4 linked regions of the Arabidopsis thaliana genome follow. The protein of the gene in region 3 interacts with the protein of the main gene of each other region in a pairwise test. Each region holds a gene or a part of one and is shown on either strand. Other genes may lie near its edges. The genes, in order: PHB, SEOa, AT3G51180 and AT1G01440.

What was found.
Region 1: the proteins of AT3G51180 (region 3) and PHB interact in a two-hybrid assay, tested with the Arabidopsis thaliana proteins (one large-scale study listed by BioGRID).
Region 2: the proteins of AT3G51180 (region 3) and SEOa interact in a two-hybrid assay, tested with the Arabidopsis thaliana proteins (one large-scale study listed by BioGRID).
Region 4: the proteins of AT3G51180 (region 3) and AT1G01440 interact in a two-hybrid assay, tested with the Arabidopsis thaliana proteins (one large-scale study listed by BioGRID).

The regions. Positions count from the first base shown.
Region 1 is NC_003071.7:14,638,821-14,646,479, reverse strand, and holds PHB (Homeobox-leucine zipper family protein / lipid-binding START domain-containing protein), read left to right. Parts: upstream 1-2,124; 5' UTR 2,125-2,486; coding exon 2,487-2,719; intron 2,720-3,281; coding exon 3,282-3,441; intron 3,442-3,532; coding exon 3,533-3,648; intron 3,649-3,733; coding exon 3,734-3,824; intron 3,825-3,940; coding exon 3,941-4,036; intron 4,037-4,117; coding exon 4,118-4,315; intron 4,316-4,389; coding exon 4,390-4,545; intron 4,546-4,629; coding exon 4,630-4,704; intron 4,705-4,792; coding exon 4,793-4,899; intron 4,900-4,984; coding exon 4,985-5,174; intron 5,175-5,265; coding exon 5,266-5,454; intron 5,455-5,545; coding exon 5,546-5,626; intron 5,627-5,708; coding exon 5,709-5,849; intron 5,850-5,940; coding exon 5,941-6,254; intron 6,255-6,352; coding exon 6,353-6,467; intron 6,468-6,552; coding exon 6,553-6,702; intron 6,703-6,785; coding exon 6,786-6,932; 3' UTR 6,933-7,157; downstream 7,158-7,659. UniProt on the Arabidopsis thaliana protein: Probable transcription factor involved in the determination of adaxial-abaxial polarity in ovule primordium. Specifies adaxial leaf fates.
Region 2 is NC_003074.8:245,205-251,144, reverse strand, and holds SEOa (sieve element occlusion protein), read right to left. Parts: upstream 3,954-5,940; 5' UTR 3,930-3,953; coding exon 3,309-3,929; intron 3,228-3,308; coding exon 3,147-3,227; intron 3,077-3,146; coding exon 2,607-3,076; intron 2,529-2,606; coding exon 2,419-2,528; intron 2,319-2,418; coding exon 2,176-2,318; intron 2,102-2,175; coding exon 1,637-2,101; intron 1,535-1,636; coding exon 884-1,534; 3' UTR 673-883; downstream 1-672. Other genes in the region: AT3G01660 (S-adenosyl-L-methionine-dependent methyltransferases superfamily protein), read right to left, coding at 4,713-5,018, 5,098-5,613. UniProt on the Arabidopsis thaliana protein: Scaffold protein required to form the phloem filament matrix in sieve elements.
Region 3 is NC_003074.8:19,011,697-19,017,002, reverse strand, and holds AT3G51180 (Zinc finger C-x8-C-x5-C-x3-H type family protein), read right to left. Parts: upstream 3,615-5,306; 5' UTR 3,284-3,614; coding exon 3,218-3,283; intron 2,637-3,217; coding exon 2,454-2,636; intron 2,361-2,453; coding exon 2,236-2,360; intron 2,153-2,235; coding exon 961-2,152; 3' UTR 656-960; downstream 1-655. Other genes in the region: AT3G51190 (Ribosomal protein L2 family), read left to right, coding at 58-397.
Region 4 is NC_003070.9:158,916-164,649, forward strand, and holds AT1G01440 (hypothetical protein (DUF3133)), read right to left. Parts: upstream 4,039-5,734; 5' UTR 3,572-4,038; intron 3,366-3,571; 5' UTR 3,305-3,365; coding exon 1,653-3,304; intron 1,564-1,652; coding exon 1,503-1,563; intron 1,388-1,502; coding exon 1,164-1,387; intron 1,078-1,163; coding exon 1,020-1,077; 3' UTR 713-1,019; downstream 1-712. Other genes in the region: AT1G01450 (Protein kinase superfamily protein), read right to left, coding at 5,190-5,734.

The sequences.
Region 1 (7,659 bases), on a different chromosome or scaffold from region 3:
ATAAATATTCAGTCGTAAGTCCAAATATTTTCTTGAAAACAACATTTGAAATGTCATAATAACAAGTACCATTTGGAATTCTATTACAAAAGAGTTAATCCATATAAGTCATATAGATTTTGATTGGTAAATTGGTAACACGATAAAAAAAATGAATGAAAACCTACTTTCACAATCTTTTACTTGTCAGATAATTTTGAAAACTTTTTTCTACAACTTCTTTTTTCATTTGCTTTGATTATGCGATGATATTAACAAATGAAGGATGCGACTAAACCTTCACAACAATGAAAACCAAAAAAAAATCCATTTACCATAGTTCAAACTTCAAACACGGTATATAAATGGTGAACATGCAGGAGTTAATAATCCCTCGTGATGAGGAAAACAAAACTCAAAACTCAAAAGAAAAATGTTTTGAGTGGCGCGAGAAGAAACCTCGTAATATTGTGTAGTTAAATAATGTTAAGTGGTGTTTTATGAAAAGAATACAACTTGAAAAGCATTTATTTTGCGTGTATTCGATGGAGAAAAGTATTTAGTAGTTGTAGCCTTTTATTGAAATAAAAATGGTTAATTGGGTGTCGAAGAAAAGGATATAGGGAGCTACGTGTGGTGGTATCTGCCATGTAGAAAATCGAAGCGCATGCACAAAGTTGGACTCATGATGAGACTTCACATGACCACCTTCATTTATTCCTCCTACTCCTCTCTCTCTCTATGTACAGTATTAGTATTAAATTACGTATATAAAAAAAAAAAAAAAATATTACGTATATATAAAAAAAAAAAAATATTACGTATTTATTTTTTGTCCTAGCGTATAGACACGTAGACCGTAGTTATAAGAAGTTAGTCGTTTGTCCGAGCATTGATTTTGTACAACTCTTACAGAACCTAAAACAGACTGTACTTACCAATGCCAAACTTGTCTGTCTTCTCTTTCTATTTATTTCTTGACTCAAATTTGAATCGAATATATTCATAATCTGACCAGAAAAAACCAAAACTCTAATAAACAAAAAAGCTTTGAAACTAACAAAGCGAAGCCAAATTTCATAAAAGAAAGTTTAAACACACAAAAAGTCCTAATTTGAGGCATTTTTTGACAGGACTAATAACTTTATATTTCAAAAAAATAAAGTCCCTTTCACGCTTCTCACGCGCTCGGTGAGTGACATTCCCACACCATTTTCCTCATGCATGCAACATTTATCATCATCATTATCATAAACCTAATGCATACAAAGATGTACGTAGATATACACATGATGATATATTGTACATGCAACATACATCAGCATCAGCATATGATGAACATCAGAAAGAAGGAAAGAGAAAGAAACTTATGTGATGTCCTTCTCACAGAGCTAAAGACAACAGCATTTTTTTTTCCCTAAGTTAGCAAAATACCCATTTCGTCAAATATCCGTTTCTTCTGACAACAATTTCTTCGAATAAAACATAACAATATTAAAAAGAAAAGGTAAAGAAAAAAACAAAGATTGGCCTGTCTTCTCTGCCTCCATATTAAGTTAGTTATTTTATATGTATTTTTATCATTACTGTTGTGGGTAGAGTAAAAAAAACAGATGGGTTTTGCAGAGACTGTTTTGCGTGTGTTGGCTTTTCTCCTTTATTGTCTTTCCCCTTTTTTATCCTGCACCTTATTTTAATTATTTCTTAGCTAATTTTTTATTGCTACAAATACTAGAATAATTTTATTTTATTTTTGCATCACAAGTTATAACCAGAAGAAACTTATGTAGTAATTAGTACACATAAAACTCAATTGCATTTTCTTTTTACATTTTTTTTTTTTTTTTTTTGGACAAATCATTTTCTTTTTACTAAAGTAAATGTTTTTAGTGAACACATTGAGTACAAATATGGACACAAAGTATAAATTATTATGAGATTTTGCAGTAGATATTAATTTATTTTAGCTATGTAAATAAAACCGTAAAAGTAAAAAGCTTTTATCAAATTCAACCCACCTGGCGTTTCAGTTTTCATTTTTTTTTTACCTTTATGCTGTTTTTATGTTCTTGCAAGTCTTTCTCGCGCCACACAAAAGAAAAGTAATTTCTTTTAGAGTTATGTTTTATTTTTTTTGGACCATGTCTTAAAAGGATCTCGAGATTGGCGTCTGAGATAAAGACCTCTACTTTGCTTCCTTTATCTTGCTCCTCTTATCTCTTCGCTTCTCCTTCCTCTCCTCTCTCGCCATTGCCCTCTGGCGTTTTCTGTCTTGAGCTAAAGAAATAACAAATAAACCGAAAAAAATAAAAATAGAAACTTTTTTTTTTGTTTATTTGTTCTTTCTCCAAAACTCCTTTTTTTTCTCACCATTATCTCATGAACGTGAGTGGAGGCTCTCTGAGTAGAGAGAGCCTACCCTTGAAAATAACCTAGGGATTTCTCCAATTTTCAAGCTTTACCCATTCAAAAGAATCGTCCTTTTTTCCTATTTCTGACTTTGAGCTATGATGATGGTCCATTCGATGAGCAGAGATATGATGAACAGAGAGTCGCCGGATAAAGGGTTAGATTCCGGCAAGTATGTGAGGTACACGCCGGAGCAAGTGGAAGCTCTCGAGAGAGTTTACACTGAGTGTCCTAAGCCAAGTTCTCTAAGAAGACAACAACTCATACGTGAATGTCCGATTCTCTCTAACATCGAGCCTAAGCAGATCAAAGTTTGGTTTCAGAACCGCAGGTGAAATTTCATCTTCTTTCCTTATCAAAGTTGTTACCTTTTGTCTGTATTAATTGTTTTCTTACCATTAGATTATCTTTTTGTTTGTATATGAGTTTATGAAGATGTTAAATGTTTTTCTTTCTTTGACTGGTCAGTTGTATTTAAGTTTCCTTGCTGTTCTTATCTGACAAGAATTTTTTGGATCTCAGTGATCATTTTGTTATGAGTTTTAATCGTCTTCTAAATCTCTTTAAAGCAAGAAACTTTGTTTACCATATGCTTTGACGTATCTAGTTGGTTGAATATCTAAATTCACGAAAGTGACATTTAATCAAATTGTCTTTGAATGCGTTTCCAACATTTATTTCTGTCAAAAGCTTAAGATTTTCTGCCAGAAATTATGATATGATAAAGGGGAAAAATTTACATTATCTTTTCTTCTTTATATCATTGGATGTGTTTTATAAAGACAAATGGTGTCTGTCTCTGTTCATCCACTAACATTTCTTCCCATCATCCATGCACATTTGGCTTTTATGTTGGCTTAGTTGGTCTAACGAAGCTTCCTTTTGATTTTTAGATGTCGTGAGAAGCAGAGGAAAGAAGCTGCTCGTCTTCAAACAGTGAACAGAAAACTCAATGCCATGAACAAACTCTTGATGGAAGAGAATGATCGTTTGCAGAAGCAAGTTTCTAACTTGGTCTATGAGAATGGCCACATGAAACATCAACTTCACACTGTAAAGTTCACTTTTCACTATTTTCTGTCTCTAAAACTCAATTCTATGAAGCATTTTGTTTGAAAGTTGTTATCTTTTTTTTGGAATGTAGGCTTCTGGGACGACCACAGACAACAGCTGTGAGTCTGTGGTCGTGAGTGGTCAGCAACATCAACAGCAAAACCCAAATCCTCAGCATCAGCAACGTGATGCTAACAACCCAGCAGGGTGAGCTTTTCTTGTCTGCTCTATAACTCTCTAATGAATTCTGTTTCCCACTCTGTGACAACCTAAATGGTTCTTTTTTGTTTAGACTCCTTTCTATAGCAGAGGAGGCCCTAGCAGAGTTCCTTTCCAAGGCTACAGGAACTGCTGTTGACTGGGTTCAGATGATTGGGATGAAGGTAATACTTTCTGGCCTGAATACTCTTAAAGTTGTATAATCTGATTTCTATTCTTTAGTTGTGTCTGAAGATGAAGTTGTTTATGATTATTTGATGAACCTTCATTGCTGGTGTAGCCTGGTCCGGATTCTATTGGCATAGTCGCTATTTCGCGCAACTGCAGCGGAATTGCAGCACGTGCCTGCGGCCTCGTGAGTTTAGAACCCATGAAGGTAAAGAGTGCGATTTGTTACGTTCTGGCTTGTGTTTATAATCATTAGCTTACGCTAGTCTTGATTTGAAAACAAATATAGGTTGCTGAAATTCTCAAAGATCGTCCATCTTGGCTCCGAGATTGTCGAAGTGTGGATACTCTGAGTGTGATACCTGCTGGAAACGGTGGGACGATCGAGCTTATTTACACGCAGATGTATGCTCCTACGACTTTAGCAGCAGCTCGTGACTTTTGGACGCTGAGATATAGCACATGTTTGGAAGATGGAAGCTATGTGGTGAGTTCTTGAATCTGCTTTTTCTGTTATGTAGTTTCTGTTTTAATACTTTTGTCTTCACTCACTGTCTTCAGGTTTGTGAAAGGTCGCTTACTTCTGCAACTGGTGGCCCCACTGGGCCACCTTCTTCAAACTTTGTGAGAGCTGAAATGAAACCAAGCGGGTTTCTCATCCGTCCTTGCGATGGTGGTGGTTCCATTCTCCACATTGTTGATCATGTTGATCTGGATGTAAGTGACAACTCGAATCGGTTCATAACACTTCAGTTCTCTCTTTATAATATGATCATGACTTTGTTTTTTCGGTTTTGCAAGGCCTGGAGTGTCCCTGAAGTCATGAGGCCTCTCTATGAATCATCGAAGATTCTTGCTCAGAAAATGACTGTTGCTGTAAGTTCAAATACCTTTATCCAAACTGTATATGACCTGAACGACTTGGTATGCTGCAATGTTTCTTAAGTTCGGAGTCTTATTTCAGGCTTTGAGACATGTAAGACAAATTGCACAAGAAACAAGTGGAGAAGTTCAGTATGGTGGAGGGCGCCAACCTGCGGTTTTAAGAACCTTCAGTCAAAGACTCTGTCGGTAAGTATCTACTTTACTTAATAGCTTTATCACCAAGAATTTCTTTTATTCTTATTCTAATTGTTCAATATGGATGAACTTTCAGGGGTTTCAATGATGCTGTTAATGGTTTTGTGGATGATGGATGGTCACCAATGGGTAGCGATGGTGCAGAGGATGTTACTGTAATGATAAACTTGTCCCCTGGGAAGTTTGGTGGGTCTCAGTACGGTAATTCATTCCTTCCAAGCTTTGGTAGTGGCGTGCTTTGTGCCAAGGCATCTATGTTGCTTCAGGTACATGTCTTAAGGATTTGATAATAAAAAAACTAATATTCTGTTTCTGTCTGTTTCTAACTAACTTGCATCTTTTTTTTTTTGTTTGAAGAACGTTCCACCCGCTGTGCTGGTTCGATTCCTTAGAGAACACCGATCTGAATGGGCTGATTATGGCGTGGATGCTTATGCTGCTGCATCGCTCAGAGCAAGTCCTTTTGCTGTTCCTTGTGCTAGAGCTGGGGGGTTCCCAAGTAACCAAGTCATTCTTCCTCTTGCGCAGACAGTTGAACATGAAGAGGTACTTTTATCAAAGAATAACACAGCTTCACTTTCTCCTCTCTCTAAATACGTGTTATAGTCCTGAAACCTTTCTTGGTTACTTGTTTCAGTCACTTGAGGTGGTTAGACTTGAAGGTCACGCTTACTCACCCGAAGACATGGGTTTAGCTCGGGATATGTATTTGCTACAGGTTTGACTTCATACTTTAACTCCAAAGTTTCTATGCTCCTTTGTTCTCTTCATGACATTTTGGATTCTTGATTCTTGTCTAGCTTTGTAGCGGTGTTGATGAAAATGTGGTTGGAGGTTGTGCACAGCTTGTATTTGCCCCTATCGATGAATCATTTGCTGATGATGCACCTTTGCTTCCTTCCGGTTTCCGCATCATACCTCTTGAACAGAAATCTACTCCGGTAACATGTCAAAAAGCCATTTAAGGATCAGTCCCAAATCATTTATTCTTGACGCAATATTCTAAATTTCTAATCCTTCACTGTCATATAGAACGGTGCATCTGCAAACCGTACCCTGGATTTAGCCTCAGCTTTAGAAGGATCCACACGTCAAGCTGGTGAAGCCGACCCAAATGGCTGTAACTTTAGGTCGGTACTAACCATAGCATTCCAGTTCACATTTGATAACCATTCAAGAGACAGTGTTGCTTCAATGGCACGTCAGTACGTGCGAAGCATAGTAGGATCGATTCAGAGGGTTGCTCTAGCCATTGCTCCTCGTCCTGGCTCCAATATCAGTCCAATATCTGTTCCCACTTCCCCTGAAGCTCTCACTCTGGTCCGTTGGATCTCCCGGAGTTACAGGTACTTCATTATCATTAGCCTCTAGGTTTCTGCTTTTGTTTACATGATCTATGGAGTATTTTATCTGAATTTCTCTTCTTTTCTTTTTGGCTTTGTAGCCTTCACACTGGTGCAGATCTCTTTGGATCTGATTCTCAAACCAGTGGTGACACGTTGCTGCATCAACTCTGGAATCACTCTGATGCAATCTTGTGCTGCTCCCTCAAAACAAACGTAAGTAACAAGGCTTCCCATTCAGATTTTGTATTTGTGACTAGAACATGTTCTTGAGATGACTGACATAAATTCTCATCTGTAGGCTTCACCGGTTTTCACATTCGCAAACCAAACCGGTTTAGACATGCTGGAAACGACTCTTGTAGCCCTTCAAGACATAATGCTAGACAAGACCCTTGACGAACCTGGTCGTAAAGCTCTTTGCTCTGAGTTCCCCAAGATCATGCAACAGGTTTTTGTTTTTTCTTGGGAAACATTTTGACATTTTCTTGGAAAAATCATTGTTTGACTTGGAATCTAAATTTTGTTTTACAGGGCTATGCTCATCTGCCGGCAGGAGTATGTGCGTCAAGCATGGGAAGGATGGTATCTTACGAGCAGGCAACGGTGTGGAAAGTTCTTGAAGACGATGAATCAAACCACTGCTTAGCTTTCATGTTCGTGAATTGGTCGTTCGTTTGAAGAATAATAAGAAATAAGAAGACCAGATTTTACTCCATTTTTCCCTTGGTAGGGAGGTTATTTATGTAAGATATTAAAGTTAGGTGCCACTATGCTCCAAAGTCTTTTGAAATTCGAGGACCAATATGTAATATGACGAATGTCTGATCTTGTATGGATTGTTCTTGTTCCTATGTTACGTTATATGGCAAGATTATTATGATAATGTTATCAAGTTTTTTTTCTTGTGCTCGTTTGCTTTCACAAGGTGACTAGTTTCTATTTTCAACTACCTATTTATATGACCATCTATGTCTAGTTTGTCTACTATAGGGGGTTCTTGTTTGACGTGTAGTTTTTTCTTTCCCTGAATGTTTTAGTTATGCTGCTAAAATTTAGCTCTTTACTGAAGTCTCATAGTTTGTAGCCAAAAAAAAAGAAAAAAAAAAAAATATATGAGTTAAAATTTCGTAAATATCTAATTGGACAAAGAAACTATATTAAGTTTTGGAACATCTAACAGGCTAATAATAATGATGTTTCATTTTTATAAAGTAAGAAAGATAGATGAATGAGCTAGCTGGTTACGTTGTGCAATTTTGGAGTATGTATATCAATAATTATAATAAAATAGAAATATATGTATTATTGATAAGATATTATGTTAGATTTGGGTATTATTGTTTTGTATAATGGAGGGTGGTCCAATTTGAATACAGGTTCTAGTTGTGCGAAGCCGTTAATAGCA
Region 2 (5,940 bases), about 19 Mb from region 3:
TAAGGCTAAAAAAAGCAATAAAAGAGTAACCAAGGATATATTTATCTAAAGACAATCACTTTTCTAAAAATAAGATTGTTATGCTTTGGGTTTATTCTATGCATGTTTTTTTTTTTTTCTATTAACTTTAGCATAACGTTTATAGGTAGGATTAAATTTGTTGTTTCTATACGCAACAAATTTTAATATCTCATCATTAGAAATACGTATAAGAGCTTCTTCGAAATCGAATCCGATATATGCAATATTTAAAAAGTATTTGATGGTTTGGAAGATTTAACTTTTACATTAACTACAGGCTAGGAACCGCTGATTTGTCGTTTAAAGTTGTATTCCCCCTTTGTAATACAGCAATCAGTCTCATGGTTTATTTTTTCAATAATGTAGACTAACACTTTTAACTTTCTATTAGATATATTACGATATGTGATTTGGACTCAAAAGACTGTTCATCTTTTGATTGATTGATCCATCCTTTTACTTTGCCTATATTTTACTAGCATTAAGTAATTTCATTTCAAAAGGCTAAATGTCAAAAGATATTACTGTCACATTAAAAAAATGTCACGGTCACTTGTGTTACTTGTGTATTAGTTCACTAGTGTTCTAGGAGCTTAAGGATCAAGAAATCAACAAAGAAGCAATGTTCAATCAGTTCATTGTTCTAGAAGCTTCCGATAAATAAACCTTTATTATTTCGAAATCTCAAACACACAAATTTTATTACAAAGACTCTCTGCTTTTAGTAGAGCAGAACAACAACAACAACATGAAGAGTAGAGAAACTCACAACAAGGAGGAAAAAAAAGACGCAAACTTATTTGGTTTTATAGGAACAAGTTGTTGGCTTCCAAATCAACTTGTTCCCCAGTATTATGGGATCTTACTCAAGGCAGCATTGGTACAAGTAATACTTTTCCATAGTCCTACGGCACTCGGTGCACTCAACCTCATTAGGTATAATTCCAGCAGTCTCAGGAAGCATGAACCTTGTGCAGTGATGTGGTGGGAGACGCATTAAGAGATGATCATTGAGCGCTGTAAGAAAACCCTTTGTGGGGATGTTGACTTCCCATTCGTTAAATTCAGCCAAACCCCTAGAAAACAAGTTCCCTTTGGCTCGAACCATCATGTCCGATGCTTTACTCACCAGTCCCCATCCATCTCCTTCTCCTCCATAACCTAACATAGCAACCACTTCTTGCAGAACAAGGTCCTTTTCCTCTTCTTTAAACCCTTCTCTCCCCTTGATTCCGTGGGCTTTCAGCATCCTCTGCTTCGATTCCCACATGCTCTCGACCCTGGTCCAGAAAAACCAGATCTGGAACAAGTCCGGCAAAGTATGGCTGAGATTTTCCTCCCGGATTGTGTTGATTATCGGCTGGATTCCATTCTTAGGGTTTCTTTTCCCGACATAAACCATCTCAAGTTGAATGTTTGCGGCCTTCGCTACATTACGCCAGAGACTCGTGAAGTTTTTGATCCATTGCATATCTTCTCCTCCGTAGAGACATATGTATTTTCCATCAACAAGCTGATAAAAAACATTTGAAACACACACAGATTTTCAGGTTACGTGTAACACAAGAGAAAGAAAAATTTATTAGTACTCTGTTTTTTTATTCAATCAAGAAACCTGGTTTAAGGAATGAGGATCAGTGCCATCAATCAAGAACTCAAGATTCCACTCCTGTTCGCTCCATAGATCACGTTCCCTTGCGGTGGTAAAAGGGTGAGCAAAGGGTTGCCAGATCCAGACCATAGGAAAGGCGTTGGTTGACATAACTTGACCTTTGGGATCAAGTGCAACGAGTATAGGCCTGTTCTTGAAACCCCACCATTCCCTCACAAACCTTATCGCGGCTCGTCTTAATTTCCGAGGCTCTCCAAGAACGTACCACCTCATGTTCATGTGAAGGGCCTCGAACTTGGCATCGTCAGCTTCTGTCCAGAAATCTTGAACTGGAACCCAAAGAATCTCGAATGACTGCTGCCATGCTTCTGTGTAGAGCGATTCCAGGATGTAGAGCTCTTTTTCGATGTTTTCTAGGTCTGATATCAGAAGCAGAACGTGCTTTTGGGTGAGCACGTTGATCCCGACCTGGTTAATGTTTGAAAACAGATCAGTCACTGACAAGAGACATATACAGATGCAGAGATATAAGGAGGTTTTACGCGTCTCTTTGAAACACCAGCTCCGTGGTAAAGAAAATCAATGGGTCTGAGAAGACGAAGTAGAGGAGGAACAACGTCGACGTGAATGATAGTAGTGAACGTCTGGATGAGTTCTTGATACTCTTCTTCGATTATACCTTCCTCTGTAACAGAGTAAAAAAAACAGAGCTTGAGAACAGAGGAATAAAAATACTCTTAAATATATAGAAACAGAGAGAGAGCTTAAAACGACGTCGTAGTTACCGATGGTCATTTTACTCTTCTTGAATTGTTCTAACAAGTAAGCATTGATCTTCCTAAGCCTTTCGCTATTCTCATGTATCTCCGAAACTTCCATAAACGACATGATTTGACTGAAAACATAGATGAGAAGCACATACTCAACTTACTCCTACTTGAAACCCTAGAAATCAGAAAGAAAAACAACTTACTCCTGCTTGAAACCACTGGCGCCACTGATGTGAGAAACACATATCAAAACACAGCGAACAATCCAGTAAACCGCAGTGGGGATATGGTCGGTAAACGCGGCTGTGATGTGGTTTGGCGGGAGTTGATAGATATCGATGATGGTAGTGGTGAGATCAACCATGTCTTGCATCAGAATTCGGGTCTTGTCGAGACGCTGGTGTAGAGCGTTCTGCCGGGAGAAGATGCTAGGGAGCTGTTTGATGAGAGCCAGAGATTTTGTGAGCTGATTTGTTGCGTGTGTCTCCGCGAGGAGGAGAAAAACGCCGTATTTCACGGCCAAAGCAGATAGGACAAGGACTAGCTTAGCATCCCAACGGTATTTGGAGACCAAAGACAGAACAGAGAACGTCGTCGTGTTGCGACTATCCAAATGAAGCCCTGATGTCATCATACCGTGAGACTCACCGCCATGGAGACACTTGCAGTCGATCTGTGTCAGAGACATTGATACTTAGATACTGACTCAAACGTTACTTAAAACAAGAAAGCTTCATATATACCTCGCAAGAGATTTGATCAATGAGATCCGCAAAAGTTTCAAAGGAGGTATGATCAGCGTAGTCCTTGAAGACGAGTGATGGCTGCAAAAAGTTTTAAATTTAATACGCTTGTAAAAATCAGTATTTGAAATGGGGATTAATTGTTGCACAAGTAAACTAAACCTTAGGAGCAGAGGAGTCAATGGATGGGACATGAGACTTGAAGATGTCATTAACAACGGAGAGAAGTGATGTGACATCAAAGAAGATCATGTCTGGACTGTGAGTCTTCAAGACTCTATCAGCCATGACTCGGTCATCAGAAAGTGAAAACATGGGTCTGCCATTTCTATGGAAAGCTTGTTTCTTTCCCGGACCAAATCTTCCACCGAGCGAATTGGGACCCAATGATTTCGGAACCATCGAATGTCGGATATTAGCATCAAGGATTTCCTCAGATGGATGAGGGTAATGTGCAGTCTTAGGGACAATGGAACCGAGATTCTCGCTATTATGATCCATCACCTTATTATGGTCCGCAGGAGCAGCAACATGGTGATCATCAGTATGACCCCCAAAGGGGTTGTCTTCGTGAGATCTCGGTGCTAAAGGACGCCTCTCGCCTGCGTTATCAGCCAGCCTCTGCTCGGCGGATCTTGGAATAAGGGAGACCCTTTTGAGAGGGTCGGCCGTTGGGAGGGTTTGTGAGTTCAATTGAAAGCGTTGGGCCATATTGGCGAGGTTGAGAGAAATATATGGTGAAGGATCTGATGTGTTGTGATGAATGATTGGGTTAGTATCCATGTGTGTGTATATATACTGGTGCAAAAGGTTAAATAAAGTGGCAACTTTGAATCAACTTCTTTGCTTCACCTTTGGTTCAATATCTGTTTTGGTGTCTTTTACACTTCCATACAGTTTTTCCCTTATCGATATTTCATAATTTTCATAATAATAAGAATTTCAGGTCTTGGATAATATTATTTCTAAATATGAAACGTCTCTAACGCAACTGCAACAGTCTAATACTAGTAGTGAGAAACATTTAATATTTCAAAGTTTATATACTGATGGTACAACGAGTTATCCTGATAAACATAACTAAATTTAGTATGTACATAGTAAAATAAGGGACTTCATAGCTATTTAAGAAGACACATGCATGGAACATAGATAGTGTACATATACAATGGATTTTTGTTTTAATATAAAAGACTTCCTTCTAATATATATACTGTTATTATAGAATCTAAACCATAAAGTAAGCAACTCGTGATACTCGTTTGAAGAGGGACAAGGCTACCTTGCTTGGATATTGTCCATGAATCTTCGAACAAAACGAATCACATACAATGCATGCTAATTGAAAACTATATATTAATTATATTTTCCAAAGTGTGTAATCTTTCTGTCAATTATTTCTTGTGTAATACAGGTTCTTCCAATTTGATTGAAATCTGTAATTTCATTCTCCACTTTTTAAAAATTTGTATTGTAAGTTTCTCCAGCTGGACTTGGTTGAGAGGTTTTTTCCTTTTCTTCAAAAACTTCCCATCCAATTCTTATACACTTTTTTTTATGTGCGTGTTACTCATAAATAGGTTTGAAATTTTTATAAGCAATGACAGCATTAAAAGGATCGGGCGTAGAAGCTAAACCGATAAAACCCATAAGCCGAGTCAAAACCGATATCTGAGCTCCAGGCTGTTGCCGGATGATCTCCGGCTGAGTAAACCCTTCAATAGACTGAAAGTACTGAACCACCAATTGGATCCGACTGTATTCGGTTCCATCACGCCAAACCCTAATTGCTTTCTCATAAAACATCCGGTTGCTAAAACTCACTATCAACACTCCTCCCGGTTTCAACACTCTATACACTTCTGCAAACACCTGCGGTTTATATAATAAAGACCCGGTTTAGGAATCTTCTTGACATAACCGAAATCGGTTTTGGTTTACGGTAACGTACCTTTTCGGGTTGTTGTAGATACTGTACACCAACAGAACACAAAACAGCGTCGAAATACTTGTCTTCGAACTCGAACTTCTGATCTTCATTAAGATCCTTGACGAAGAAGTAATCGAGTCTAGGGTTACGAGCAAGCTCCTGTGCGTTAAGACCATGCCCTACTACTTTCTCGTACTTCACTTCTTCTGGAAGATGGCTGACCCATGAGCTCATCAAGTCAAGTACAGTCGAACCGGGTCTCAACCGGTTTCTGTATAGTTCGGTTAAGGAGGATATGAAACTATCATCTACGTGGTTCACGAACCGTGGATATGAATAGAATTCACGGTCAGGATCGGCGTTTAGTTTGGTCCGACCTTCGTTGTTAAGTACTAACCTTTGGATCCTACCGGCCGAGGATGATGGTCGAGGATCGGTTTCATCGATTCGGTTTGATATGTTGGTGATTCTTGGTCGGAGAATTCTAGGTTTCAATTGAAATGGAGATTGTTGGAGGTTGAATCGAAGAGAATCCATAAGAAAAAAACTTTCGCTTTATCAAATTTCACAGAAGCGAAGAATCGTTTGTAGAAAAAGTGACAAAATTTATGTAAAAAGAAAGGAATGGATAACTGATGAGTGGTGTGATTATTTCTGCTCTTCCCTACTATTTATTTGGTATGTTTGCTTGTAGCCCAATTTCAGGCTAATGGGCTTCTATTGGGCTATTCATCCATTTATTTCTCATTGCTTATGTCGACAAAACAAATCAAAATTAAAGTGTTTAAGCAATCAACTTTGGTTTAATCGAATCTTGAAAAATCAAAGAAAGCCAACAGACAAATACATAATTCTTACAATCCA
Region 3 (5,306 bases):
CTTACTTGACTTGAATAGCAATTTACAAGATTGATCTGTTTGTTGTACCATAAAAAGGGTTAAGCTTCCTTCTGGATCGAAGAAGATTTTGCCAAGTGCGTGCAGAGCCATGATTGGGCAAGTTGCAGGTGGAGGAAGAACAGAGAAGCCACTTCTCAAGGCTGGAAATGCATACCACAAGTACAAAGCGAAGAGGAACTGTTGGCCTGTTGTACGTGGTGTTGCGATGAACCCAGTGGAACATCCCCACGGAGGAGGAAACCACCAGCACATTGGTCACGCCAGTACGGTCAGGCGTGATAAATCTGCTGGTGCTAAGGTTGGTCAAATTGCTGCAAGGAGAACTGGTCGTCGTAGAGGTGCAGCTGCCACATTAGCAGCCAAGGCAGACTACTAGACTTGAGACACACTCTTCTCTGCTTTCTTGATTTTAATTTCTTATTTCTGTTAACACCCCATTGTAGCCTTTTACTTTAGTTATAACCTCTTTTTGTGTTGAAAGCTAATGAGCTTCGTTTCGAATCTGCCCTTTAAAGGTAGAATTTTGAATTCTTTAATTTATGAGATCTTTTGCGGTCATCTTGATGGTATTTTTTTACTACATATTACCTATACTTTGCAGTACATCTCCAGACTCTAGCTATATATTACAACAGTTTTTTTAAGCGATTACAAAACTCAACTCCGTTAATCGTTTGTTTTAAAAGACCGGACATAGTTTACTACAAATTAATTACGCAGATTAGTTTTGAAATCATGATTTAAATTAATATTGTCCGGCTTTCTCGACCTCTTAAACTGGTGTCATTAAACTGGTGCTCTAAACAAATAACTTTGTTAAATGAATTAAAATTGGTGCGCACAAATTGATCAAAATTGAAAGTTGTATCACCTCAGGTTTTGTTCCTTAACCAGTGATAGACAAGACTATAAAAGTGAACTCTATTTTTTTTTTTATGTTCAAAAACCATTTCTCTCATACCTTCCAAACTTCATTCTCTTAGCCCTCGGAGCCGCGGCCTCAAAGTTGGGCCTATACCGGTCATGAACATAGGTGCAACTGTCTCCCATATTACATCCATTCGCAGTGCCAAAGTAGATACATTGTTGATGAATCTTATTATTATTATCAATGCGTCCGTTGAATATTCCAGTTTGTGAATGGTATTGGTTAGTTTCATGATTATCTGTGCCATGTTCCCTTATAAGGTTTTTGAAATAGTCTAGACCCTTCATAGGTTGTACTACTGGTTTAGCGCTACCAATTGCATCTGCCCGGCTAAAGTTCATTGGATAAGAATTGAAACCGGTTTGAGGACCCCTTCCAAGTCCAATTGATGATTGAACATAGTTCATTTCAGATGTACGGAATGCGGAATAGGGTTGGTGTTGGGGTTGAGGATTTACTATTACCTTTGGTTCTGAGAAAACATTTGGAGGTCGGTGGAAGTTAAGGTTCATTGGCAGAGAACTCGATGGGAACCGAGCAGGCTGAGGTTGTTCTTTAGCTATACCGACATGGAAATGAACGGGCATTGGTATACTAGATGGTTTTCCAGTTATAGGCTTAGGTGGGGATATGCTTCCATTTACAGGCTTGGGAGGTGATACTCGCCTCTCAGGGTTAGTAAAAGACCGAGAAACTGCAACACTGTGTTCTTGAGGTATTATCACTGGCTGCGGCTTTCTAGCCATGGGTGAGGCGGTGACAGCACTGACAGGCTGCGGAACAGGTCTAGTAGCAGAGTTGATGTTAGTGACAATGGGCTGATTCTTAGTTTCAGAGGATTTACCTGATGTGTCAGTGATAAGATTCTTGATTAATTTTGGGTCGCTGAGGAACTTGATAAGTAGCTCAGTATCGACCAAACTCCCTTGTTCCTTGGTTTTCATCAGTGCAGTCAGAGCTGCAGAAGCAGCCAGACTCAAGTCTGGTGCAAGACCAGTAAGACCAGAAACCTGTTCTTGGGTTGAACATAGAGGTTTGGTCTCCAACTGACCCTGCTTGTTTGCGGTAACACCTGATTCAACCTTACTGTTGGATGACTCCTCTGAAGAAGATTCACTCTCGTCTTCAATAGGAGTGAGACGAATGGCAGGAGTTTTGCTGTCATCAAAGCATTCAGCTTCCACAGCCGGTGAAACAGAGGGTCTACATGAAAACAGAATGCAATCAGCAGGCTAACTAACACACCAACACAATGTTGAATAACCTAAGAGAAGAAGGTAAAATACCGAGAAGGGATGGCAGAGCGATGAGGATAGATAGCTTCCAGCACTTTTGAAATCCTCAAGTTTTCATTTTGCCATTCTGAGCTCCCGCCACCACATCCAACCAGCCAAGTATCATTGACAGAGAACTGCATTGTCCAAGACACATAATATTAATATCAGATATGATAAAAAAAGATTCAAAAGGGATTCACCAATTCTTTACAGTATAAAAAATATACCTTGGGAGGAGGTCGTTTCCATTTGATGCGAGGAATGTTTGAAACATTAGGCTTAACTGCATAGTGATTTCCTTCAAAACCAGGTGGAAGATCTGGCCCTCGAGGTTTCCTAGATGGGTAGCTATGACGTTGAGGCTGAGAGGCTACATTGGCAGGACTGTCCTCTGTTCGAAAAACCTTAACCTGTTCAAAATCCGCATAGTTAGAAGCTAACCAAAGCTGACTTTTTCGTGTATCAAAACTATGTAACTAAACCAATAAGGCTTCCCAAGTCTATCTGTAAAAAGATTGTAAATTTGTAGTTGCAGAGTATTGGATTGATGCATTCAAACTTCAAAACTTGATCATATCTTGTTTCAATCTAAATCTAACTGTATGTTGATTCAAATTTCCAAATCCAAAACCTTGAATATATCTTTGTTGATTCAAATCAATTTCATGTAAACTATATGAGCTAAAACGTTATCTTCAAAGATAGAAAAATCAAAGCCTTCTACATACCAAAAGAGCCGTCAAAGTAACAACAAACAAGACTTGGTTTCTTCACCATTTTTCGATTGGATATTGAAATTAAATAATTCAGCGATTCAAGATCGTATCAATCAATTCGTTGGGTTTAAAGGAAAACTTCAAAATCGAAATTTTAGGATCCAGAAATTAGGTTAATTGTTATAATCGAGAGTTTAGATTTGGTGAGATGGATCAATCAATTTGGGATTAGAAAGTGGATAAGAAAACATGGAACATATAAGGATTAATTATACCTGACAAAGCTTAGGACCTGGTGGCCATGAAACTCTGGGTTTCTTCGATCTCTTCATATTATTCATATAAATCTCAAAGAAACAAACCAGTGAAAACAAAATTCGATTCTTTTTGATTCAACCGGTGATCGTTTTTTTATCAGATTCAGATCAAATATGAATTTTTTCTGCTAGATCTACAGATTTCTTAACGAAGCAAATTGAGATTCGAAGGATTTTGATTAGGGAATTGGTCAATACGATGGATGAGTCAGAGATCGGAGAGAGAAAACGGAAACAAGAAAGAGACGTCGGCGGAAGGATTTGGGTGATGATGATGATTGATTGATTGATGAGAAAACCCTAACAACTGTCTCTTCTATTTTCTTTTTCTTTTTAGTACACGGTGGATTTTGTTAGGACGTTCCTTTAGAGACTGTATTTATATATAACGGAAGCAGTTATTTATTTATTTAATTTCGTGTAATTCTCAGGTCTCAGCTAACTCCAAATTATAATTGGATTCCTAATTTATATTTATTTATTAACTCAATTGGATTCCTACTTATTTTAAAAAATTAAATAAGATTTTTTCCTTATTTTTGGCTATTTATTTTTTATTAAAATGGAAAACCAAATTGGCATTACAGATAAAACAAAGTCCTACATTTACAACTTAAAATTGAAATTAAGCCCACTTACTCTAAATCCAACTTTTTAAAAAAAATAAGAGTTAAAAATGCCACTTGTGAAAAAGTATCCACACGTGAGAAGGATGAGTATTGACACGATCTTTATCAGCCATATCTAACGATATGGTTCAGCTTTGTCGCTGGACTTTAGATCCATCATCGCTAGCTCCTTCTATAGGTTTACCGCCGCCGGCCTGCCAAATTTTGCTGTACGTTCTTATAATTCTGGCCATGACTCCAACGAATCTTTAGATCTCAATTCAAAAATTCTTCAAAAAAAGCTCCACCTCAAAACCTTAAAAGGTCCACTTCATACCAGTCTTCATACCAGTCGGTAGTAAGTTACAAGGATATTAGTCCTTTAGAAGAGCCAAGCCGACAGTAAATCATACATAATCTAAACAAGATTTAATTTTAAGTCATGTAGAAAGAGAAAACACAAAAATCCAGCACTTAGACAAAACTAAGTTTGGAATATTTTAATCCGACCAAAACACCGGCTACGCCTGAGTTGAAAGCCGACATTAAATTGGAAAAACAACAACTAGTCCGACTAGAAAATTAGAAGACGAAAAGATAAAATTGACATTTTTCTTTTTGAAAGGTTCAAGAAAGTTAGGAGACGAAAATTGGCACTTTGATTTAGGCTTCGCATTGGAAGAGTTGACGAATATTCCGGTTGGTAGGAGACGGAGATATCATGACGATGTGACGATAATGGTAATCACTCTAAGTAACGATCAACGCAAAGGCTTCTACGACTACGATCGTGTGATTTTGATTATGATGGCGACAAATGTTGGATTGGTAAAACTGTAATGAGTCATACTGATTTCTTTTAGACTTTGGAACTGATCACTATTTTGCTGGGTATTATTTCAGTGCACAGTACATATATTATATCATTGTAGTGGTCGTAGAGCCTAGATTTCATCCGTTTGTCAAAGCTTTAGTCACATGTTCTGTTATTTTTTTGGGCATTTTGGGTGTTTATCCGGTTTGGTTTGTTGTTTTGGATTGTAAGTTGTAACATTGACTGAACCGGTTTTGTCAATTGGTTTAAACTACTAGTGAAATAAAATAAATGTTGATTTGAGAGCTTTAATAAATAAAGCATCTTATTATTATATTCAGAACTTTTACATTAAAGGAAGGGGGATAAAATTGGGAGCATAAACACAGCTATAACAACAGAAAACCATGGTGTCAATTACAAACTTCTTGAGCAAATCTCCCCTGACAATATAGATGCAAGCCGCATAAGTGTTCTCGTCAGCACAATAAATGATGAAGGTGGTCTTGTCATAGATGAAGTAACTAATGCCATAACACTCGATAAATAAGTTTGGCAAGTTATTTGGTAGCAACGTCAACAAGTGAATCCACACAACTTCGTCTGATCCATTGTTGTTACTAGT
Region 4 (5,734 bases), on a different chromosome or scaffold from region 3:
TAAGCCATTGCTATTACGGGTGACATGGTACCATTAATTATTTCCAACGTAGACAGGATTACAGTAATCTCTACATTTATGGAAATTAGGTGATTAGTTTGTATTTGTAGTGTCTATCAAACGAAACTCGATAAGGATGGTCCTACAGTATTTATTGATTAATTATCACTTATCAGGAGCAAAGATAGAGACTTGTTCTCTCTCTCTTTTTTCAACTAAAGACAGAGACCTCGCACTTAGATTTAATGGTTGAAACTTGTAACTAAAACTACTTGTGAGTATATAAATTAGTATCTAGTTTATGCTTTACACATCTAATTAGACGAAAAAATATATTTTGTCTTCTGATAACCGTGGTAATTTTCATGCTAATTTTGTTTTAAACGTTCTATCTAGAGAAAAAAAAAAAATCGTTCTATCTAGACGGTAGAATTAGTTCTCGGTGATTTAAAACATAAACTAATCTTTAGACATGAATTAGTCGTTTTAGACAGACTAGATTATCGACTCTGTTTTTTTATATGGAGTAGGGTACACCACGACCACGAGGCCCATTGTGAATAAATTATTCCATGGGCTTTAAATATTTGCTACGTGGACCCATCTTACTTGAAGTTGATTTTGGATCTACCATACCAGTGTGTTTTCTTTCTTGAAAACGATTTAACAAGTACACACAGCCTGGACAGATCTATAAATATATACATTTATCTTTTGTCACAAAATCAAACAAATATTATTTTATTTCCCAACAGGCAACAGGTTATCCACAATAAAAAATGATCAATTTACATAAACCAGATCACAAGATATAAAACCATACGGTTTATCTCTTAGACAAAAAAAAAAAAAGTAAGAGAAAGAATGGAACATTGTAAGAGAACCCCCAAAAAAGAAACTAAACCCAAAAACAGAATAGCAAATAAGTTTTGGGTCAGAATATAAGCAAAGATGTGTTATATATCAATCACAAAGAATAATTTACAAATCAGAGAGGTCAAAACAAAGCTGACGAAGCTTCACGAGACTAATGATCTTGGAACCCTCATGCCAAATCCATGCTTCACCTTGTCAACCCTGATTCAATTTTCAACCATAAAATTTCAGAATCAACTAAATGATTGATGTAAAAATTTGATTACATGGAATTGTGTTGTGCTTACGTTGGAGCTAATCTGCCAAGACTCTTAAGTTCTTCACCAGAGTCTCCATCAAGAACTCTTCCTGCTATATCAATGATGTAAGAACGGTTCTTGCCTCGAGGAAGACCTCTACTTGATAGTAACTCTAGGTCTCTCTCGTGAAGCTCTCTTCCGTTTACAAACACACTCGTGTTTCCTGCACCGCAGTTATCCGGCATTGGTCGACTAAACTCCTCTATAAATGGCTGCATCAACCAACAATTGTTTCCCATTTCCTCATCAAGTACCAATCAATACAAAGAATTATGAAACAGTGTACTGGAATTCAAAGCAATATAGAAGAGATGTGAAAGTTCTTACTGGTATTATACCGAGACAAGGGTTTCCCATCACTCCCCAGAATCCAGCACGGTAATCATACCTGGTCAGAATCATAACATAAAGATGGTTTCTTGAACGACTGATCAATTCTTTTGACGTAGATTTATCAAAACGTAACCCCAAACATACCAGTATTTGCCAGCTTGAACTGGCCCAGCTTGTTTCTCAGCGCTAATAACCAGATCTTCTGGTATCAGATACCCATTCACCCAAACCTCTAGCTGCTCGTTGTTTTGGTCGTTAGAACTGATATTATTTGTGACCTCTGCGAAACTGTGCTCACTACTCTGCTTTCGGTTTCTTGGTCGTCTCCCTTCTTTGCTGGCTTTTGAGATCCTTGAATCTTCAGACTCCTCGGTGTTAGTATAGTACTCATTATAAGAAACATCTGTCTCAGTAGCTACTGATTCTGATTTCAGGGAGTCTTGTTTCGTGTATGATTCTTGCTTATAGTACCCTAACTGCGCCATTCCGTAAGTGATTGCAGCTCGGTTTACATTAGAATACTCAAAGAGCTCAAGAAGATTGGACTTTTCCGGAGGAGGAGGAGGAGGAACCTTCGCGCCTTGGGCTCTGCTGCGAACAGACTTGACGACCTGTTTCCGCGGCTCACTAGAAATGCTTGACCTGTCTTCATCGTTTGAGTGATCACTAGGCGATACAGCATGGACAATTTTCGTTTCCTGGTGTATTCTTGGTTCTTCATCATTGAGTGGATAATCATCTACCACAGGGATTGGTGAGCTTCTATCTTCAACCTCTACAGAAACCCGGTTCGTAGTTTCCCCCAGGGCAGAAGATGAGAAAACAAGCTTCTTATCAACAACTCTGAACGTGATAACCTCAGAACAAGCACCACATTGCATCTTTTGTTGCCTTTCCTGACCAAGAAGCTTCTTCTTAGGCACATATAGCAGCTCAAAGCAACTGTGACAAGCAATAAAAGGCGCACCGCCTGCTAGAGGATGGCAACGACGTGAATCAGTATCAGACACAGCTTGTTGAACATACCCACGAGCAAAAGCACCACCCATTTCAGAATCAATTTCACTAGGCCACCTCGTGTGAACACCACCATGTGGACTAAAGGGTCCAACTTTCTCACCGTGGTGCAAAGCCGGGCTAAATGGGACATCACCATACCTACTTGGCGTACCCGGAAAGAATCTAGGGTCCTGTAACTGTGACTCAAGTATATCAGAGCCAATGTCTACATACTGTCCTTGAGGATAGGGTGGACGAGGCGGCATCTGATTAGGGTAATGACTTGGTCCTTGATAAAAGTTTTGAGGTATCCTATGCACTGGGAATCCATAAGGGTCTCTATAAGCTGGAACATGAGGTTGGTTACTCGCGGTAGGATACATTCCATAAGGAAATGGCTCAGGGTATGGATTGTAATAAGAAGGAGGAGGTCCATGATGGGCATGGAAACCCATTGGTGGCTGATCAACAACAGTAGCATTATTACCTCCACCACGGAGAAGATGATCTTTAATAGAATCAAGCTTTCTCAAAAGCTCGGCTTGTTGTTTATCAGTGTACTGAATTGGGTTGTTTCTGGTGGTTGTGTTCTTAGAAGAAGAAGAATCTGAATCAGTCTCTTCCTCCTTTCTCGAGCTCTTGACGAATCTCTGAGAACCAGGTCGTGAATTCGAATCGTCTAGGCGATTTCTCATCGGGCTAGTAGCGGATTCATTGAGATCCTCCTTAAAGCCTCTGTCTTCATCACTTCTTGAGGAACCAGTATCTGCTCCATAAACGTCACCGCTTGTCCTCATCGGAAAAAAAAAACAAAAATTCTCCGACGAAGACCAGCTTCTAGGGTTTTGCTTGTTTAAACTGCAACAGAAATAATAATCCTTGAATTCAAACAAAATCCGAAATTATCAACAAATTCTCTAATCGAATCTTCTCCAATCCGCGAATAGTAACATGGTAGAGCAAATCTTAAAATTTTCCTAGAGACTAGTTCAAGAGTTTCCATGATTGCACAGCATCCAAAACGGGAAAGACAAGACAGAGAGATATAGGAAAATCAAACGCACCTCGAAGAAGAGTGATTCCGGCGTCAGTATTATGAATATTTTTTGGGCAATTTCTTCGTCTCCGGTGAGAATCAAGCTTTTAGTCTCTTTGACGCAGCCATTTTTTAATATTAAAGGAGTTTTGTGAAAATTTCAGAGGAATTTATTTAAATAATCAAAAGACTTCGAACAATAGCTCTACTTTTCTTGCTTCGTTTTCCCGGGAATCTACCAACTAGGAACAATTAGATCGACAATGGAGTTTAAGAATTTTGACATATCTAGAAACTATGAGTCTTACCAGGTCAAGTTGACCAAGAGATAACGTGACGACCAAAAATAATGCAACAAAATAAAAATAGTAGTAACTAATGAATTGGTTGGATCGATTCGAATTTAACTGCATTTGAAAGGTGAAAGTTAAAGTACCAAATTAGGTCTTTGATATATTTGTGTCTCGCTGCTCCAAAACCAACAATACCTTGAACTACACACACTATTCATCATGGCCATGGTGGGTTTAGTTTATAACGATGAATGTGTACGTATTTTATACATGTATTGTATAATATTATCTTGTCAAAATAGATGGTGTGCCATGTTCCCAGACGTGCTCATAACTTGAATTCTTTTCATCATCATCATCTTTAAAAAGTTTAGAGATGTATTTTAGTTGTTGGAATTGTATTTTATATTAGGGTGACAATGACAAATGTTATAGCTGTAAAGTATTTTTTGTACAAATCAGCTGCTTAGTTTGTTTACTCCACTTGCTTATAATGTTATATTTGACAAATCTGTTGGTATTAAAATCATAATAACGTACTTATCACCAAAAAAAAAAAAGAAATCATAGCTTCATTCATCTAAAACTAGAGTGGGGACTTTTTGGTCATATCACAATCAATGACATAATAAAAGCGTCGGAGGATGGATGTGACGGAGTCGGCGGTGGCGGAGATATTGAAATTGACGAGAGACAGAGCCAAAGCTCCGAACCACGCCATGTCTCTAGTCCCCGGCGGAATCGCTGTTCCCCTTTTTTGTTAAGGTAATTTTCAGGCAGATTAGTCAAGGTTCCTTATTTTTGATGTTTTTATCCACATTCGAAGCCCAAAATTTGATTAGTGTAATTTGATGGTGTTTGATAGATTGTAGAAATAGTGGAGCAGGCCTAGTTTACTTCACTTCAGCGTTGAGCCTCTACAGTCTAGGCACATAATTTTGCCTCATATGATTTGTTTCCTTTAAGATAATATTGTAGCTAGTAGCTACTGAATCAATCAGTCACTAGCCTGAACAATATACGAGCCTAGTAGTATCTGTAGGAAACTTTGAATAAAGAAGAATTTTATCGTTTTCGATAGATATGTAGTGGAGTGTGTGTCACCACATACGAGTTAGTATGTCTTTTGACTTGTACAGCATTTTGAACTTGCTATTATGAACCTATTCTTTTTCCCTGCAGACTAGGAAAGCTCAGAGTCAGAGGCATGTCCAGAGTTTGATCGTCGTATCCTTGGGCTTATCAATATCAGCTGACTCTCAGAGTTTGCTCTCATGCTTTGCCCACCACAAGGGCTTAGTGGCGGATGCCTTGATCGTCCTCTCGGAGTTGTCCCTGAACAGAATCCAAAGGCTAGTGACACAAAACAAAAAAATTAGTACAAGTAACCAAGTTCATATTTGTTAGGGAGCCTATATATATATATATATATTGGCTGATGATAATCTCACCTGGTTTTTGAATTGGTTTCAGGCTAGAAGCTCTTTTCAGAAGATTTGAAACCTGCTTCTTGCTCATACCAACATCATTTGAGGAGCATGACAATCTTCTTTCCTTGGCATATGACAACTGCTCATCTGATCCTGCCCCACCCTCATCCTCGCTACACGAAGCCCATTCACTTCCTGATTCCGATGGTTCCCGGAGATTATCCTTTTCACACGTTTTTGCCCGTTCCACAACCCTATATGCAAACATTTGAAAAGGAACCTGTGAAACTTTGGTTAGCTCTGTAGATTCCCAAGAAAGCTTCTGCAATAGCTTTGTCTCGATCTCGCAGTAATCCACAGTAGGCGCAATGGACGGGTCTTGTTGGCTACTACTGTAACATTCCGGGTTCAAAGCTAGAAACCGTTTGATATACCGGAGAATTCTGCTTATCGATGAGAAAGTTGGAC